Mus musculus: one gene and its partners. The protein of the gene in region 2 purifies or fractionates together with the protein of the main gene of each other region. This does not show direct contact. Links are inferred from orthologs where the notes say so. Each region holds a gene or a part of one and is shown on either strand. Other genes may lie near its edges. The genes, in order: Rfc5, Rad9a, Hus1b and Clspn.

Region 1 (4,448 bases), on a different chromosome or scaffold from region 2:
GGTGTCGAATGACCTTTTCACGGGTTGCCTAAGACTATCAAAAAAACAGATAACTGTACTACAATTCATAACAGTAGCAAAATTACAGTTGTGAAGTAGTAATGAACATAATTTTATAGTTGGGGGTCACCACATCATAACAAACTGTATTAAAAGGTCGAAACATTAGGAAGATTGAGAACCACTAGCCTAAACTAAAGAGATATGCAGTATTCATTATCACCACGAAATCTTAAGGGGTTCAACAAGAGCTGTGGGCAGGTAGAGCAGGCTGTGTGGGCAGGGTACAACCTCTAAGTTGGCCCCGCAGAAAGTAGAGGCTGCCAGGTGTTAATGCCCTAGCAAGTCTAAGCAGTATCCCCCATTTTGACACCCCCCAACTCCCCCCAAAACACACACAAGATCCCATTGGTCAAACACAGCCAGGACTCAGATGGTCAGGGAATAAAAGAAGGACAAAGGTTAAGTGTCTGGAGGTCTGAGCTGTTGTGGAGTGAGAGTGTCTCCTTCACCTCCAAGACCATGGAGCCAAATTCTTTATCTTTGTACAGTTGCTTGGCACAGGCCAGGATGGTGGATGTCTTTCCTGTCCCTGGAGGGCCATAGAGAAGTAGGTGTGGCAGGCGGTCTTCACTGATGAACTTCTGAACTGAGGGACAGGAAGGGGTGACATGTGTCAGTCTCTGGGTCCTACACAATCACCTTAGGACCTGGTTATGCTAAATCCAGATATGCTTCAGTTTTTCAGTGTCCTAGTCGGAGTAGACAGGGAGGGGAAGTCCTGAAGTCACACCACAGTTTGTCTGTCTGTCTATCTGTCTTCCACACTAGCTATCTTGGGAGGGTCTATTAAGTTGAGAGCAGAAGTTCTCAACCTGTCTCGACACTTTTAGGAGCTACATATCGCACACATACCCTGCCTATCAGACATTTATTTACATTATAATTTGTAACAGTACCAAATTCCATTTATTAAGTAGCAATGAAATAATTTTATGGTGGGGGGGGGTGGTCACCACAACATGGGGAACTGTATTAAAAGGGCCACATCTTTAGGAAGGTTGAGAGCCACTGGTTTAGAGGCACAGCCTCATTGGAGGAGTCAGGTCACCAAACTCGTGCCTTTGAGGGTCATACTGCTTGCTCCCCCACCCCTTTAGCTCTCTACTTCCTGTCCACTTTGGAGCAGAGTGCTCCCACTGCCACGAAGTTGTGCTCACCAAGGGTCTAGAGTCAACAGAGCCAAGCACTGTGAACCAAAACCTCTTCAAAATCAACCATCCCTCTTCTGTGTTGTCTTCTTGGGACATGGGGGGATTGGGAAGGTGCCTCAGTTAAGCCGGGTGCTCTTGCAGAGGATCTGGGTTTGGTTCCTAGCACCTACATAGCAGCTCACAACTGCCTACAGGATCCAGGGTCCTCTTCTGGCCTCTGGAGGAGCCAGGCACACAAGGTGCACACACTTTCATGTGTAAACAAAACACCTAAACAGTAAAACCAAACAGATCTTGAGACAGTTTGGTACACTATGGAGAAGGCGACACATGGCCGGTTCTATAAAGGCTCAGAGCATCCTCTAAGGGTCACCCAGCAGAGACATCGTCATCACGAAATGGACCCAACCCTCCACAAGGACAGCAGCAACAGACAGATACTTACTGGTACTCAGAATGTCCTGGTGAGAAATGAGATCGGCCAGGGTCTGTGGCCGGTACTTCTCAACCCTGAAATAGGATTCACCGTTAAGTTACAATCTATATACTCAAGCCATGTTCTGTTACATGCAAAGAAGCCCCTTCACATCCTAAGCAGCAGAGGAAGAGAAACCCTTCGCGTCTGAACAGAGCACTGGCTCTCACAACCAGGAGTTGTTCTGTCCCCCCAGGGGACATCGGTCAGGCCAGTTATCTGTATTAACTGTGCAATGGGTGTTAGCAGCATCTGTTGAGTAGGAGTCAGGAGGTTGCTAACATCCTCCAGTGGGCAGGACAGCTCCCCCTTGCCCCTCACCAACAGCGCTGAGACTGCGCAAACGGAACTCATACTCAAATACCTATAAGCAAGAGAACGGGCAATCCACTTATGATGTGGCTTTCAAGAGGGAATCGAGTGCTGAACCATGCTACAGAACAGAAAACCCTTGAGTTCGAGAAGCCAGACTCAAAAGGCCACACGGTCTGTGACTCCAGTCCTGAGAATTTAAATACCGTGTGGCCTGAGACAAGTCTTCCTCCTCAGGATAGACCAGAAGAAAAGAAAATGAAAGCATGGCTAGGCTTGCTTCATTTAAAACACCGCTAAGGTGCTGTAGGGCCATTCAGAATGCAGGCGCTGGGGCCCTGGGTGGAAGATCAGGTCCCTGCAAGTTGTCCTCTGACCTCCACCAGGGTGCGCTGCTACGGTCCCTCCCCCGCAAATAAAGAGGGGATAGAGTGCAAGCGCTGAATTCGGACACGAGTTCGAATCCAACCAAGCCTACCCACTCCTCCGTCCTCGGAACCTTTCTAAAGAAACCCAGGATCAATTTATTAGGGTCATCGGAGCGCAGAGGCGATGCTCGAGGACCCCGAGGATGGCTAAGCTGAGCTCAGAGCCCGTTCAGGTATGGAAGCGGAGGAGCGGCTGCGGCGCCAAGGCCGGGAGCGGGGAAGGATCTGCAAAGCTCCTAGGAGGAAGAGCGGGAAGCGGGATGTGGGGCCGCTCCTACCAGGGCAGGTTCCGGGCCCGGGCCGCCGCGGGCCGCTGCTGCGAAGGCGCGGCCGCCGTCATGACTGACAGATGCTGCGGGTCCCTGCCACTGACCCGCCGCACTCGGAGTCCGCGCGCAAACCAACCCTCGCGAGGCTTCGCCTCCGGCTTCCGGCTTCCGTCCCCCGGCCCGCCTCCTCCCCGTTGCTAAGGTGCTGGTTGCTAGGTAACCCTAGGCGCCGGCCTGCAGCGGAGTTACCGCCTGAGTCGGCTGTCTCAGCCTCCTCGCACGAGGTCCAGGGTGACCGCGCGCTGAAGCCAGAGCCACCGCGGGCCTCACCAGGGCCCGATCCTGTCAGTGCAGGGGCAAGCCGCAAGGAGCAGCAAGGTGTGTGGTCAGTGCAACCTCGGTTCCATAACCAGCAACACACACACAGAGACACACGTACATATACAGGTATGCACACAGTTACAAATATACATATACATACATCCCCATTCACATACATATAAACAGATATACGCCTGCACTCACATACACATACAGATACATACACACAAGTATACACAAATACACAGTTAATACGCATACATACATACATACATGCATACATATATACTCACATATACATGTATATCACACACATATATATACACACAGAACATACACATTCAATCATATATACACATAAATACAGTTACATATATACACATACATGCATACATATATTCATATAAATACATACAAACATTTGTGTTTTATACACACAAATGCATTTTCTCCTACAGTAAGAGGATTACAGACCAATTTTATTTATTTATTTGTTTGTTTGTTTATTTATTTATTTGATTAGTTTTGAGACAGGGTTTCTCTCTGTATCTTTGGCTATCCTGAAGCTCACTCTGTAGGCCAGGTTAGCCTCAAACCCAGAGATCCACCTGCCTCTACCTCCCAAGTGCAGGGATTAATTAAATGTGAGCTTCACCGTTTGCCTGGTGACCAATTTTATTTTCATCTTTAGCTTTTACTTTGAGCCAGGTATGCCTTTAATTCGAGTACTTGGGAGGCAGAAGCAGATGGATCTCTGTGAGTTCAAGGTCTACAGAGTGGCCTCTAGGACAGCTAGGGCTACATAGTGAGACCCTGTCTTAAAAACTCGAAAGAAAACTAACTTTAATTAATTTGTGTGTGCCTCGCTGCACATGTGGAGGCCATGTGCATCAATTTTCAAGAGTTGGTCTTCTTTCTTATGCAGACGTCCTGGGAATCGAACTTAGCTGTCAAGCTTGGCCGTTTGAATCGCAAGATCATCCTTGACTGCATATCCAGCTCATGGCCAGCCTGGTGGTGTACTTAACTACCTTTGGAGTCAAGCAGCTGCCATCTGGGGGAGTTCAGCTGTGTCCACTTACAAAAGAATTACCTTAGCTGGACTTTTTGACCGTTTACATCCCCTCACGGAAGACCCTCACCTGAGTATCCACTGGCTCCCTATAATTTATTGTGTGCAACTCTGCCTTAATTGCACATGGCTTGCCTGGAGGGCAGGGGTGGGGGGAGGAGACTAGAGTACTCAGATTAAGAAAGACTAGGAGAGAGGTCTTTATCTAAGCAGCTATGGGAAAACCCTTACCCTGTTGGCCAAATCTTTTTTTTTTTTTTTTTCTCTAGGCTGGCCTCGAACTCAGAGATCTGCCTGCCTCTGCCTCCCAAGTGCTGGGATCAAAGGCGTGTGCCACCACTGCCCAGCTGCTGTCCA
Region 2 (4,221 bases):
AGCATGGGGTGGGGGGTGGGGGCAGCTGGCATCTATATTTGAATTTTTAAAAATTATTTTGTGTGGGTGTGTGTGCTGTGGAGAGAAGTGCGGTTGCGATGCCTTGGTGCACATGTGGAGACTGACAACAGCCCACTGGGTCCATTCTACCACGTAGGTTCTGAGGATTTAAAACCTGACAACTCAACTGGGCAGGCTTAAAGCAACGGCCTTAACTGCTGAGCTATCGTACTGACTTCTATATTTGAAACCGTATGTGAGAAAGAGAAGCAGTTAGGGCTGGGAATTTAGCTCAGAGATACAGAGTACCTAGCAAATACAGGGTCCTGGATTCTATTGCCAGTATTTATGGGGGAAAAAAAGGAATAGCCCCTCCAAAAAGGAACTCTTACCACTATTAACAGACCCTGCCTGGGGAAGCTAACTTTGGGAACTGAAGGGACTTTTATTCTGAGAAATGAATGGGACCTTGGGCTACTTGGATGCAAACAGTGTCCCGCACAGGCAGGGGAGAGTCCACTGCATCCTGGGCTTATCTTGAGTGACCTTAGTCTCTGCTGGAAGCACATTCCCCTTGCCACGCTGTGTCTTGATACTGACTGGTGGGCTGTGCAGCAGCCCTCCTAGACTCCAGCCTCCTTGCCCAGGTTCTTTTGGCCCAAAGTCTAGAGCCCTGGCAATTAGGAAGAAGCCACCAGAAGGGGGAATACTACCAGAAGAATGAGAGGTCAGAGTGCTTTGAACTCTATAACACAGGGTCCAGGACAGGCCTTCAGGGTTTTCCAGGTCATACAAGAGAGCTGCAGGCAGGTCATAGGCTCTCTAGAAAAGCAGTTGGAGCAGGCCTCTGGGATACAGATGGCAGGACCCCACAGTCAGTGGAAATGACAGAGAGGCAGCAGCTCCTGCTTTTGAAGAGCAAGGTAAGGGTCCAAATATGTACTGAGTTGTGTGGCCTCGACATAGAAACCCTGAGTCCCCGTCCCTCCTGCCCCCAAAGACAAAGGTGCTTTTGTGTTTTGTGTGAACTGTGAACATGCACGGGCAGAAGCCGGAAGATGTGCTCAGTGATGCTGCGTCTCAGGGCTGTCCATCTGGGGGTTTGGTTTTGTGCCCCCCCCCCAACACACACACTTTTTTTTTTTAAAGACAGGGTTTCTCTCTGTAGCCCTGCCTGTCCTGGAACTTGCTCTGTTGACCAGGCTGGCCTCACAGAGATCTGCCTGCCTCTGCCTCCTAAGTGCTGGGACTAAAGGCATCCACCACCACCACCACCCAATTAATACACATTTTTATATAAGTGGGACTCAAAACCAGGCCTTCAGGCTTGCACGTCAACCATTTTACTGAGTTATCTCGCCAGCACATGCACCCTTTTTTTGAGAAAGAGTCTCACTGCTTAGGCTACCTAGAAACTCAATGGCCTTCCCAGTGAAGTTTCCTAGAAACTTCTGATCCTCCCACCTCAATCTAAGAACTGCTACGATGACAGGCATAGGCTAGCCAGGCCTGCTGAAAATGGAGCATTCCTAGAATGACATTAAAGCCCTAAAGGTAGGAGAGACTCAGGCGAAGTTTGAAGCAGGGGTGCTTACCGTGCTGGGGTGCGCAATAAGTGAGGGCATGAGGCTGGGTCGAAGACAGCCTGCAGGGACTCACAGTCCTGGAAGGAGAGGTTGTGTGTCTTCTTGACCCCTGGATAAGGGAAATGGTCTCAGGGCTTGGCAACCTCCACTGCCACTGCCTCCACACCCACAGAGGAACTCTTTGGGCAGGCCGCTTGCTCACCATACTTGCAGTGGAGCTGGACCACCAGGTGGCTGTGGCTGCCACTGAGGGAGATACAGCACTTCTCCACAGACTTCTCCACAATTGCCAGAGAGCGGAAGACGGACAGGAAGGCCTGGGCAGGGTAGGACATCAGTCTGGCACACTGCTTCCACGGCCCAGCTCTACATCCCATGTAGGCCCTGGCCCCATCACTGGCCCCACAAAGCTGTGGTGTCTGCACACTCCCATGCTGCCTTGCCCATGCTGGTCTCTTTGCTGGGAAGGGCCACTAACCTTTTCTTGACCAATGTCACCACCCTCTCCACAGATCTTAGATAGCCCTCTACGGTCTAAACATCTTTACCTCACTGCATGTTGCATGGAATAGCTCCCATATGAGACTAACTCCCTAGTCAAACTCATCATTTACTGAGTACCTGGCACAGAGGCACAGCTGTGGAGCTGCTTCAGGTGGCCCTTACCTTCATCAGGATCTTACAGCGCAGCAGGTCCTGACCAGGGGAAGCCGCCTGGTACTGCTGGAAGAAGAGTGGGGCAAAAAGGAAGCAGGCATAGGCAGAACGGGACGAGTTCACAGTCCGTAGGGAGAGCTGAGACACAAAAAGCAGGCAAAATTGCTTTTCCCTTAAGTTACTTTAGCCCCACCTTGCCTGCCACTAGGCGTTCTAGGAAGAGCAAGTACCCTCTGTATAGACATGCAGCCTCAGAAGACTGGGCCCAAGCCGATGTCCGAACAACCCAAGAGATAATAAACTGCGCCGGAATATCTGTCCACCATCCCTGTAAGGCCGAATGAACACCAAGCCTAGGCTCCCCATTCACCATTGAATCCGCCCCCATCCCTGCGTCCCAGTCCCTTACCCCGTCCTTCAAGGGTTCCAGATAGAGCTCGTCCCCGATTCGGGATAGCGAATGGACAGCCTTGCCCAGCACTGCGGGGAGGAGAACAGAAAGTGGTTAGGGGGACTCCTGGGGCTTGCTCACGTGGTCTGCTGCAAGGTAGGTCCAAACTTACCCTTCACGTTGCCCCCGGTGATCAGGCACTTCATAGTACATAAGCACAAAAATCGAGCTTGTTTTGCACACGAACCGGGACGGGATAGGACATATAATGAGTCCCAGCAGCTACTACGACTGCCTAAAGTTCCCTTCCCGCGCACCGTCCCCTCCCCGCTGCCGGCCTGGCCTCCGCTTCCTTATTGGTTCACCCGGGGTTTCTCCGTCACGTGAGAAAAACGTTCCTAAGCTCGGTGTCACGTGATCTAGTCGGTTCATTGGGTGTGGCCCGGGTCACGTGACTGCGGAGGGCTTGCTCCTGTGTCCTTCCTCAGGTCTGATTCTCCCACCCGAACCCGAGCCCTGCACACCCTGCAGAGCTCTGCAGCTCCACTGGGCTGCACTGGGCATAGGTGAAGGGCATACTAGATGGAGGAGCAAGGTGTCTGCACCAAGGATCGAGCTCTGGACCAGAGCCCTAACGTGGGAAGTGTAGACCCTCCCGGGTCGCTAACTTTAGTGTGTGGGGTTACAGGGTCAAATCAAGATAGTCCGCGCTCAATCTGGGCTGGGGATTCTGTTGTGGCAGCAACCACCAGCTCCCCTCAAAAAACGTAACTCGCTTCAAGAGCGATGAGAAGGGGCTGTTCATTTTGCTTTCAGGATCCTTCACTGACCTTCGTAAATACATGGAAAGATGAGAAGGTTCTGGGACAGAAAAGGGTGGAAGGATGGACTTGTCAGAAGGAGGGGCAGAAGCAGAAGCACAATGGGGGTAGGCGAATATGGGTGAATGGGGTGTCCCGAGCCTTGTGCGGTAAGGGGTGGGGAGGCAGAGCTGAAGGGATGAACTGGGAAGCCCTGGGAAGGCTTAAGTACTACGCGGGGTTTGGTTTATGTACATTTTACCAATTACCCAGACAGTGTGGAAGGATGAAGATTTTCAGCTGGGACGCATTCACCTTGCTCTGGGAGGTAGTTCAAATGCCTAGAGCAACCCTTGCCCATCCCCCTGCGGGCCTGTGGGTAGTGGGGAGGGTGTGTTTGTTACCTAGCCCCTCTTTGTTTTTCTAGGCTCCTCTCCCTCTCCAAGTGCTTCTTTCCTAGAGCCTCCGGGGAGGAGGCGGCTTTCCCTTTCCACATCCAAGGCAAGCTGCATACAACGCAGAGGTGTCCAGTTCTCTGTTAGACTGGGAGTTAGGGGATTACCAGCATCCTCTCCTCCTCACTTGCTCACGTCTTCGGTGGATTCTGGCTGCTTCATTTCCCAAACAGATGGCAAAGTGGCCCTCCTTCTGTCTCCACTGTCCTCCTTTCACTGTCCAGACACAGTCCTCAGTGACCCGCCCCCCCCCCCCCCCCCGGTGGGCTTAACTCTCCTGGCAAAGTCCAGTCTCTTGATCAGGAACTTTGAGGATCCAGGTCCCACAGAGG
Region 3 (3,276 bases), on a different chromosome or scaffold from region 2:
GCGGTGGTGGCGGCGCACGCCTTTAATCCCAGCACTTGGGAGGCAGAGGCAGGCAGATTTCTGAGTTCGACGCCAGCCTGGTCTACGAGTTAGTTCCCGGGCCAGGGAACTACACAGAGAAACCCTGTCTTGAAAAAAAAAACCAAAATAATAATAAAAAAAAGATTGGAATGAGAGTCAGGACTCATTTTGGGGCAGGAGTAAGATGAAGAAAGCAGTCAGATCTTGGTCTCTAAGACACCTTAGTCAGAGATCTGTGCCATCATCATCACTGCCTAGTTGAAAAAAGTGGAGCTGAGCAAACACTCTGCTGTACTAGATGAGTATAGAAGTTTGAGCTTCATCCTTTGTATTTCACATGGATCAGGACTCTAGGAGCACAAAAAAAAAAAAAGACAAATACATTTCACATACAAAGATTCAGTATTTTCTTAAGGGTAAAGAACATCATCAATAATATGAAAGCCAAATACTAACCTGGGCCATATTTACAGGGACAGAGGGCTAATGTTCTTGTCAGAGATTTTATTCTTTTGTTACCCATTTATTTATTTAAGATAAAAATCTCACCATGTAGCTTAGACTGGCCTAGAATGTAACCCTAACTTTCCTTAAACTTGTGATCCTTCCTCCTTGCCTCTGGGCCCCTGTGTTGGAATTATTGGAATGTGTCACCAGCCTGGTCTTATCAGAGATCTTAAAAATCAAGCAACAAACTCCACAAAAGGTCATGAATGTAAAATTCACATACATACATTGTAAGTTGAAGCCATGCTCTTCTACCTATCACATCACTACATACAACATAGATTGTTATATGATGCTGCTGATGAGAAGGTATGTTGATAGAAATTTCTTTGGGAAAGTTTGGTAACAGAAGAGTTTTAATATGTACATGCAATAACCAAGATTTCCCTTTAAACTTAACTCAAGTAAATACTGACAAAAGTAAATGTATTTTGTGTAATTCATTGTTATCCTAGGAATAGGTCAAAATTGGATCATGTAAATTCCTCTTATAGAATAATTATTTTTATCAATATACTGGAAAACTAGCCATGAAAATGATATAGACTTGCTAGCATGTGATAGTATGGAGTGATATCCATTATATGTGCATTTTAGGCACAAATGCCAGGTTATAAAATGTGTATCCAATTTATCACATTATTTATAAGACATGTAGTAACGTCTGCAAGTAATGTCTGGACTGAACAGGACTATAATATATATTTAGTATATGTATGCACCAAAATGTTTTAAAAGGGTTGGTTGTCTCAATGGTGCTGGTGATTTTAATTGTAGTCACACTATGTAGAGTGACCTTCTTATGAGCAGACCAGAAGCAGTGAAATATTCAAATAGGGCAGGTAGGTAGGAAGGTGAAGAGACAGTCCAAAGTGTGTCCCTGTAGCATCTGCCCTCGGTGGCCTCAGGTGTAAGTGGGCCTGCAGGTAGGTGGAACCCAAATGCAGGCAGTGCTGGGGCAGGAGGGAGGGGCAGTAGAGCGCACCCCAGTCTTGGTAGGTGAACTGGCTGTGTCCCAGGCCGGAAGGGTAAGCAGGCTACACTCCAGGCCGGAAGAGTGAACCAGCTGACTTCTCTGGCAGCGGGCTCCTCACAGCTCTCTCTACCACCGAGGTTTTGAGGCACCATGAGGTTTCGGGCCAGGATCACCAGCAAGCGTTTTATAGAGCTCTTCATTCAGGTCAGCAGCACCGTAGCAAAGCTGGCGAAGGTCTGTGTGCTCCGTGTGTGCCCTGACAGGCTGTACTTCTGTCCCATGGGGCTGCTGGGTGAGGCCCAGCTGTGGGGTGAGATGCGGCGCGATGTCTTCCACCACTTCTGCATGGAGGGTGCCTCGCAGGAGTTCAACGAGATCTGTCTTGAGCTGATGTCTGAGCATCTGGCCAGAGCCGTGAAGAATGCCGGCAATGCTTCATCCCTGAAGCTCCAGCTCACCAACAAGCAGCGCCCCTGCCTTACTTTGGTGGTGGAGCTGGCATCGTGCCCCGGCCACACCCGTGCTGTGGTCCACGATTTGCCTGTGAGGGTGCTTCCCAGAAGGCGATGGAAAGACTGCACAGAGCCCCATGTTCGGGGCTCTGATGTGAGTGTTTATCTGCCAGCTCTGAAGACCTTGAAGAACATGGTGGAAAGGATGGCAAACGTGGGCAGTCATGTGCTGGTGGAAGCAAACCTCAATGGCAGAATGAACTTGACTGTAGAAACTGATAGAGTGACTATTAAAAGCTATTTTAAAAATCTTGGAAATCCTCCAAATGCCGTTCTGTGTATGTCTCAAGGCAGAGACCCAGAAACCATGGTGCAAGTGCGGGTGGATAATAGGAAGCTTCTACAGTGTTTTGATGGACATCAGATAAACCCCACAATGGCCTTATGTAATATTTTGAGCAATACTCTGCTTCATCTTGTTTTGGTTCATGAAGATATTTCTCTTCAGTATTTTATTCCTGCTTCATGAATTTCAAGCAGCCTTGATTTTCTTTTTAAAAGAATTCTTAATTGAAGCACTTTCCAGAACTGAGACTTTGAGTTACTTGTGTTAAAAGCCTGCAACCCCATGGATTTGGTAGAGTGTTTATTTTGTTGAGTGCTTCCTTTGTAAACTGTTAAGAAACAGTTGGAGAAATAATTAAAAGTTCATGTGATTGTTTTTTTGGTTTTGACAGTTACATTATATTCAACTTAGTTGTTTTGGAAAAAAAGGATTATAATAAAATAATATAACTGAATCCTGAAACAATTATTGTATTATTTTATTATGAAATAAATTGTGAAGAGTGAGAAAATTCTCCTTTTAAAATAAACTAAGTATTTTGAGAGACTTAATGCGCTCAGTCTCTCTGAAAGGTCTGAGATGGATTTTGTATGTCCACCACAGATTCCGAGAGGCAAACAAGGGTCTTCTGAAGGTCCTCGGTAGGAGTCTTTACGTTACTGGTGAGTAGCCATTTCAGGGTTTAAACTCTCTGACAACTCTCTTCCTCACCTCGGAGTCAGACACTTGTTTGTTTGGTGACTATTTAAAGAAAGGTGAGAACTATTTGTAAACGCTATTTTGGGAAAGCTTCGGGATATTCAGGTTGTGTGTGTATATGTCTGTGCTGTAACACAGACATGCTTTCTGATTTCTATTGGTAAGCTCAAACACAATGACCCAGGCAACTTATAGAAAGGAGGGGTTTTTGCCTTATGGTTTTTAGAACAATAAGAATCCATTATGACAGGGAATCTTGGCAGCAGATGACAGTC
Region 4 (3,746 bases), on a different chromosome or scaffold from region 2:
ACAGATGAGCCACCGTATACATGAGAAGGTCACAGGACAACTTGCTGAAGTTAGTTCCCTCTACCTTGTGGATTCTGGGAATGGAACTGAACGCCTCAGGCTTTGCAGCGAGCACCTTTCCCACTCAGCGGTCTTGCTGGCCACGTTCAGCTTCTAACCCTGGTGCTGGAAGTCAGGAGGTTTTTACCTGTCGTTTGTCTCTCCTCTGGGTAATTTCCGACACTTCACTGTACTCGTAGATTTTTAAACATTAGAAATCACCGCCATCGATATCAGGCTGTGAAGCCCCAGTTGCCACTGGCCAGCATGGACGAGAATGCCATGGACGCCAACATGGACGAGCTGCTGGATTTGTGCACTGGACAGTTTACATCTCAGCCTGAGGAGAAATGTCAACCAAGGAAGAATGACAAAAAAGAAAACATGGAGGAACTTTTGAATCTCTGCTCGGGCAAATTTCCTACTCAAGGTAAATGTTCTGCGAGAGTCCAGGTAGCACAGCGAGAATTCAGTCAGCTCATGTCACCGTCCCCGGAAAGAAGCTCTTGCCCCCTCTCTGTAAGTGCACAGAAAACAGGGATGGGATGGAATCCTGCCACTTCCTCACCTTTACAGTGACACTGTCAACTTAGGACTGCTTTAGCTTCAGCATCACAGTGTATAACTTAATCTCTCTACGGAGGTTAGAACAGTGTCTGGTGGGGAGTAAACGTTGCATGCTTGCTGAAACAGGAAGTGGGCTCTCTGAGGTAATTGGGTGTTCATTTTGTTCATGACTGTCTTCCTGGGGCTCAGCACACAGTAAATATGAGGAAGGATTTGTTGAAAGAATGGATGGTGAACTTTTCCACATCCCACCTAAGAACTGAATTGAGCTGGTGGGTACATAGATGGCCAGGAGAGCAGAGGTGGCGTTTCCTTCCTTACTGGCCTTTCCTTGTTGAGGTAGATGCCTCCCCGGTGGCCCCACTGGGGCTGAGGAGTCAGGAGAAGGAGAGCAGCACAGAAGATCCGATGGAAGAGGCACTTGCTCTTTGCTCCGGCTCTTTCCCAACAGACAGGTGAGTCTCAAAGGTTGTCGGGAACGCAGGAAGATGAAACCCTAGGATCCGCTGGCATAGTGATGCACACCTTTAATCCCAGCACTCTGGAGACAGAGGCAGGCGGATCTCTTGAGTTCCAGGACAGCCAGGGATACACCGAGAAAACAAAAGCAAAAAAACAACCAACTAAGCAATCCTAGGATCCGGTTCTCTGTGTTTAGCAACAAACTAAGTAACTTTGGGAAAGGCAGATCTTTTAAGGTGACTACAGTTTTTATATAAACTAAGTATTGGCAAAGATCAGGGAAACCTCTGCTTGTTCTTGGTGAGCTGCTAGGGAAACAAGTTCAGTGGTTTCTCAGAGCTGATAATAGAATTGCCATCTGATCCAGCAGCTCCACTTTGGCTCTAGAGAAGTCTGAGTGGTGGCACATGCCTGTTACCTCAAAAAGAACCTCAGAAAGCCTAGTGTGGTATGTGCTTAGAATCCAATAGTCTAGAAACAGGCAAGAAAATCAAGTTCAGGCCAGGTAAGTGGCTCAGTGTCAAATACTTGACACCAAGCCTAAAGACCTGAGTTCAATCCCTAGTGTCTAACGAGGTGGGAAAGAACCAACCTCTACAAGTTGACCTCTGGCCTCTTTATGTAGTATAGTAGTTATAACGTGTGTAGTTATAGATGCACATGCCTGTACATTCACACACAGTAAATAAATAAATGTATAAATAAATGAAGGCAAGAAGGGTGAGGTCAGCCCTGCTACTCCTTTCTTATACCTAAATGAATAAAACAGGTTTTTATAATTTGTGTTTAACATAATTTGATAATAGCCAAAATAAAGAGGAAGTGTGGCTGCTGACTTGTTAAGGTTATTGTTGCTGTGATAAAACACCACGAGAAAAAGCAAATTGGAAGGGCTGGAGAGATGGCTCAGTGTTTAAGAGCACTGACTGCTCTTCCAAAGGTTGTGAGTTCAAATCCCAGCAACCACATGATGGTTTACAACCATCTGTAATGAGATTGATGCCCTCTTCTGGTGTGTCTAAAGACAGCTACAGTGTACTCACCATATAATAAATAAATAAGTCTTTTTTTTTTTTTAAAGCAAATTGGGGAGGAAAGGGTTTATTTAGCTTACTCTTCCTCATCACTGTTCATCATCAAAAGAAATCAAGACAGAAACTTAAGCAGGGCAGGAATCTGAAGACAGGAGCTGATACAGAGGCCATGGAGGAGTGTGCATACTGACTAGCTCAACCTGCTTTCTTATAGAACCCAGGACCACCAGTCCAGGACCACCTCAGTGGGCTGGGCCCTCCTCCATCAGTCACTCATTAAGAAAATGCACTACAGGAGCTAGAGAGGTGGCTCAGTGGTTAAGAGCACTGGCTGCTCTTCCAAACAACCTGGGCTCGATTCCTGGCAACTGCATGGCAGCTCACAACTCTCTATAGCTAGGGTTCTAGAATCTGACATCTTCATGCAGACATATATGCCGGCAAAACACCAATGAGTGTAAAATAATACAGTGAAAAGAAAAAGAAAATGTCCTATACACTTGCGTACCACTCTGTCTTATGGAGGCATTTTCTCAATTGAGGCTCCCTCCTCCATGATTATAGCTTGTGTCAGGTTGACATAAAACTAGCCAGCACATCTGCTAAATAGAATTTATATGCATTACATGGCTTTAAAAGGAAGGAAATTTGTTTTTGTTATTTGAGACCAGGTCTTCCTATGCAGCCCATACTGGCCTGGAATTCACTGTTAGTTCAGGCTGACCTCAAACTAGTAATCCTCTGCTTCATCCACCAAGTGTGTACATCAAACCCAGCCAATAGGAGGGAAGTATGACACATGCTTCACCATGGAGGGACCGTGACGATATGCTAGGAACAAGAAACATTTGTCACTGAGGGACAAGTACTGTATAAGTCTGCCTATATAGTCACTGGAGTAAGCAGTTTGACAGAGACAGGAAATTAGATGGTGGCTGGAGAAAGAGAGGAAGATTTGTCTAATAGGCGTAGAGTTTTTACTACCTGAAGGACTTCGGAGGTTGCTTATATAATAGTCTCAACGTAATTTTTTCTGTTTTGTTTTGAGACTAGGTCTCATTCTGTAGCCCTGGCTGACCTGGACCTCACTCTATAGACCAGATTAGCCTCAAACTCACAGAGATCCTACTTCCTTCTGTCTCCCAAGTGCTGGAATGAAAGGCCTGGACCACTACACCCAGGGATGACTAGCCTTTCTAGTCAGTCCACTCTGAGCATCCTTATCTCTGCCTTATGAGGCTGTAATTACAGGTGGGCCACTCTGCCAAGCTGGCACTGATGCAGGTTCTGGGGTCAAAACTCCAGTTTTCACAGTAGCAGGGTAAATGCTTTAGCCCTCAGGCTCAAAACACCTTTTTAAAAAGACAAAATACCTCATTTCCCGCTTCTTAAAAGAAATTTCTGGTGCTGATGAGTGTCTTAAGTCCTTAGCTTGGCTGGCTGCTTGTGGTGTGCTTTCAGTAACTTAGTGTTTTGTCCTCTAGGGAGGAAGAGGGTGAAGAGGAGGAATTTGGAGACTTCCAGCTTGTTTCAAAGGAGAATGGATTTGCTAGTGACGAGGTGAGTGCAGAGAGAGTACAACCAAGCTCCACTCGGTGCTCCCCTGCCCTCGTTCTTGAGAACTGAGCTTAGCGTCTTACCAGA

The links.
Region 1: the proteins of Rad9a (region 2) and Rfc5 purify together in Homo sapiens (affinity purification with mass spectrometry; 3 studies listed by BioGRID and IntAct, with this or other methods). This does not show direct contact. The link is inferred for Mus musculus from reciprocal best matches to the Homo sapiens genes RAD9A and RFC5.
Region 3: the proteins of Rad9a (region 2) and Hus1b purify together in Homo sapiens (co-immunoprecipitation; 3 studies listed by BioGRID and IntAct, counting the BioPlex papers as one, with this or other methods). This does not show direct contact. The link is inferred for Mus musculus from reciprocal best matches to the Homo sapiens genes RAD9A and HUS1B.
Region 4: the proteins of Rad9a (region 2) and Clspn purify together in Homo sapiens (affinity purification with western blotting; 3 studies listed by BioGRID and IntAct, with this or other methods). This does not show direct contact. The link is inferred for Mus musculus from reciprocal best matches to the Homo sapiens genes RAD9A and CLSPN.

The regions. Positions count from the first base shown.
Region 1 is NC_000071.6:117,386,210-117,390,657, forward strand, and holds the start of Rfc5 (replication factor C subunit 5), read right to left. Parts: upstream 2,815-4,448; 5' UTR 2,770-2,814; coding exon 2,708-2,769; intron 1,725-2,707; coding exon 1,660-1,724; intron 650-1,659; coding exon 513-649; intron 1-512. UniProt on the Homo sapiens protein: Subunit of the replication factor C (RFC) complex which acts during elongation of primed DNA templates by DNA polymerases delta and epsilon, and is necessary for ATP-dependent loading of proliferating cell nuclear antigen (PCNA) onto primed DNA.
Region 2 is NC_000085.6:4,198,677-4,202,897, forward strand, and holds the start of Rad9a (cell cycle checkpoint control protein RAD9A), read right to left. Parts: upstream 2,928-4,221; 5' UTR 2,841-2,927; coding exon 2,807-2,840; intron 2,724-2,806; coding exon 2,653-2,723; intron 2,382-2,652; coding exon 2,253-2,381; intron 1,904-2,252; coding exon 1,789-1,903; intron 1,696-1,788; coding exon 1,596-1,695; intron 1-1,595. UniProt on the Homo sapiens protein: Component of the 9-1-1 cell-cycle checkpoint response complex that plays a major role in DNA repair. The 9-1-1 complex is recruited to DNA lesion upon damage by the RAD17-replication factor C (RFC) clamp loader complex.
Region 3 is NC_000079.6:30,946,053-30,949,328, reverse strand, and holds Hus1b (checkpoint protein HUS1B), read left to right. Parts: upstream 1-1,567; 5' UTR 1,568-1,654; coding exon 1,655-2,485; 3' UTR 2,486-2,753; downstream 2,754-3,276.
Region 4 is NC_000070.6:126,577,374-126,581,119, forward strand, and holds part of Clspn (claspin), read left to right. Parts: intron 1-239; coding exon 240-469; intron 470-949; coding exon 950-1,061; intron 1,062-3,586; coding exon 3,587-3,662; intron 3,663-3,746.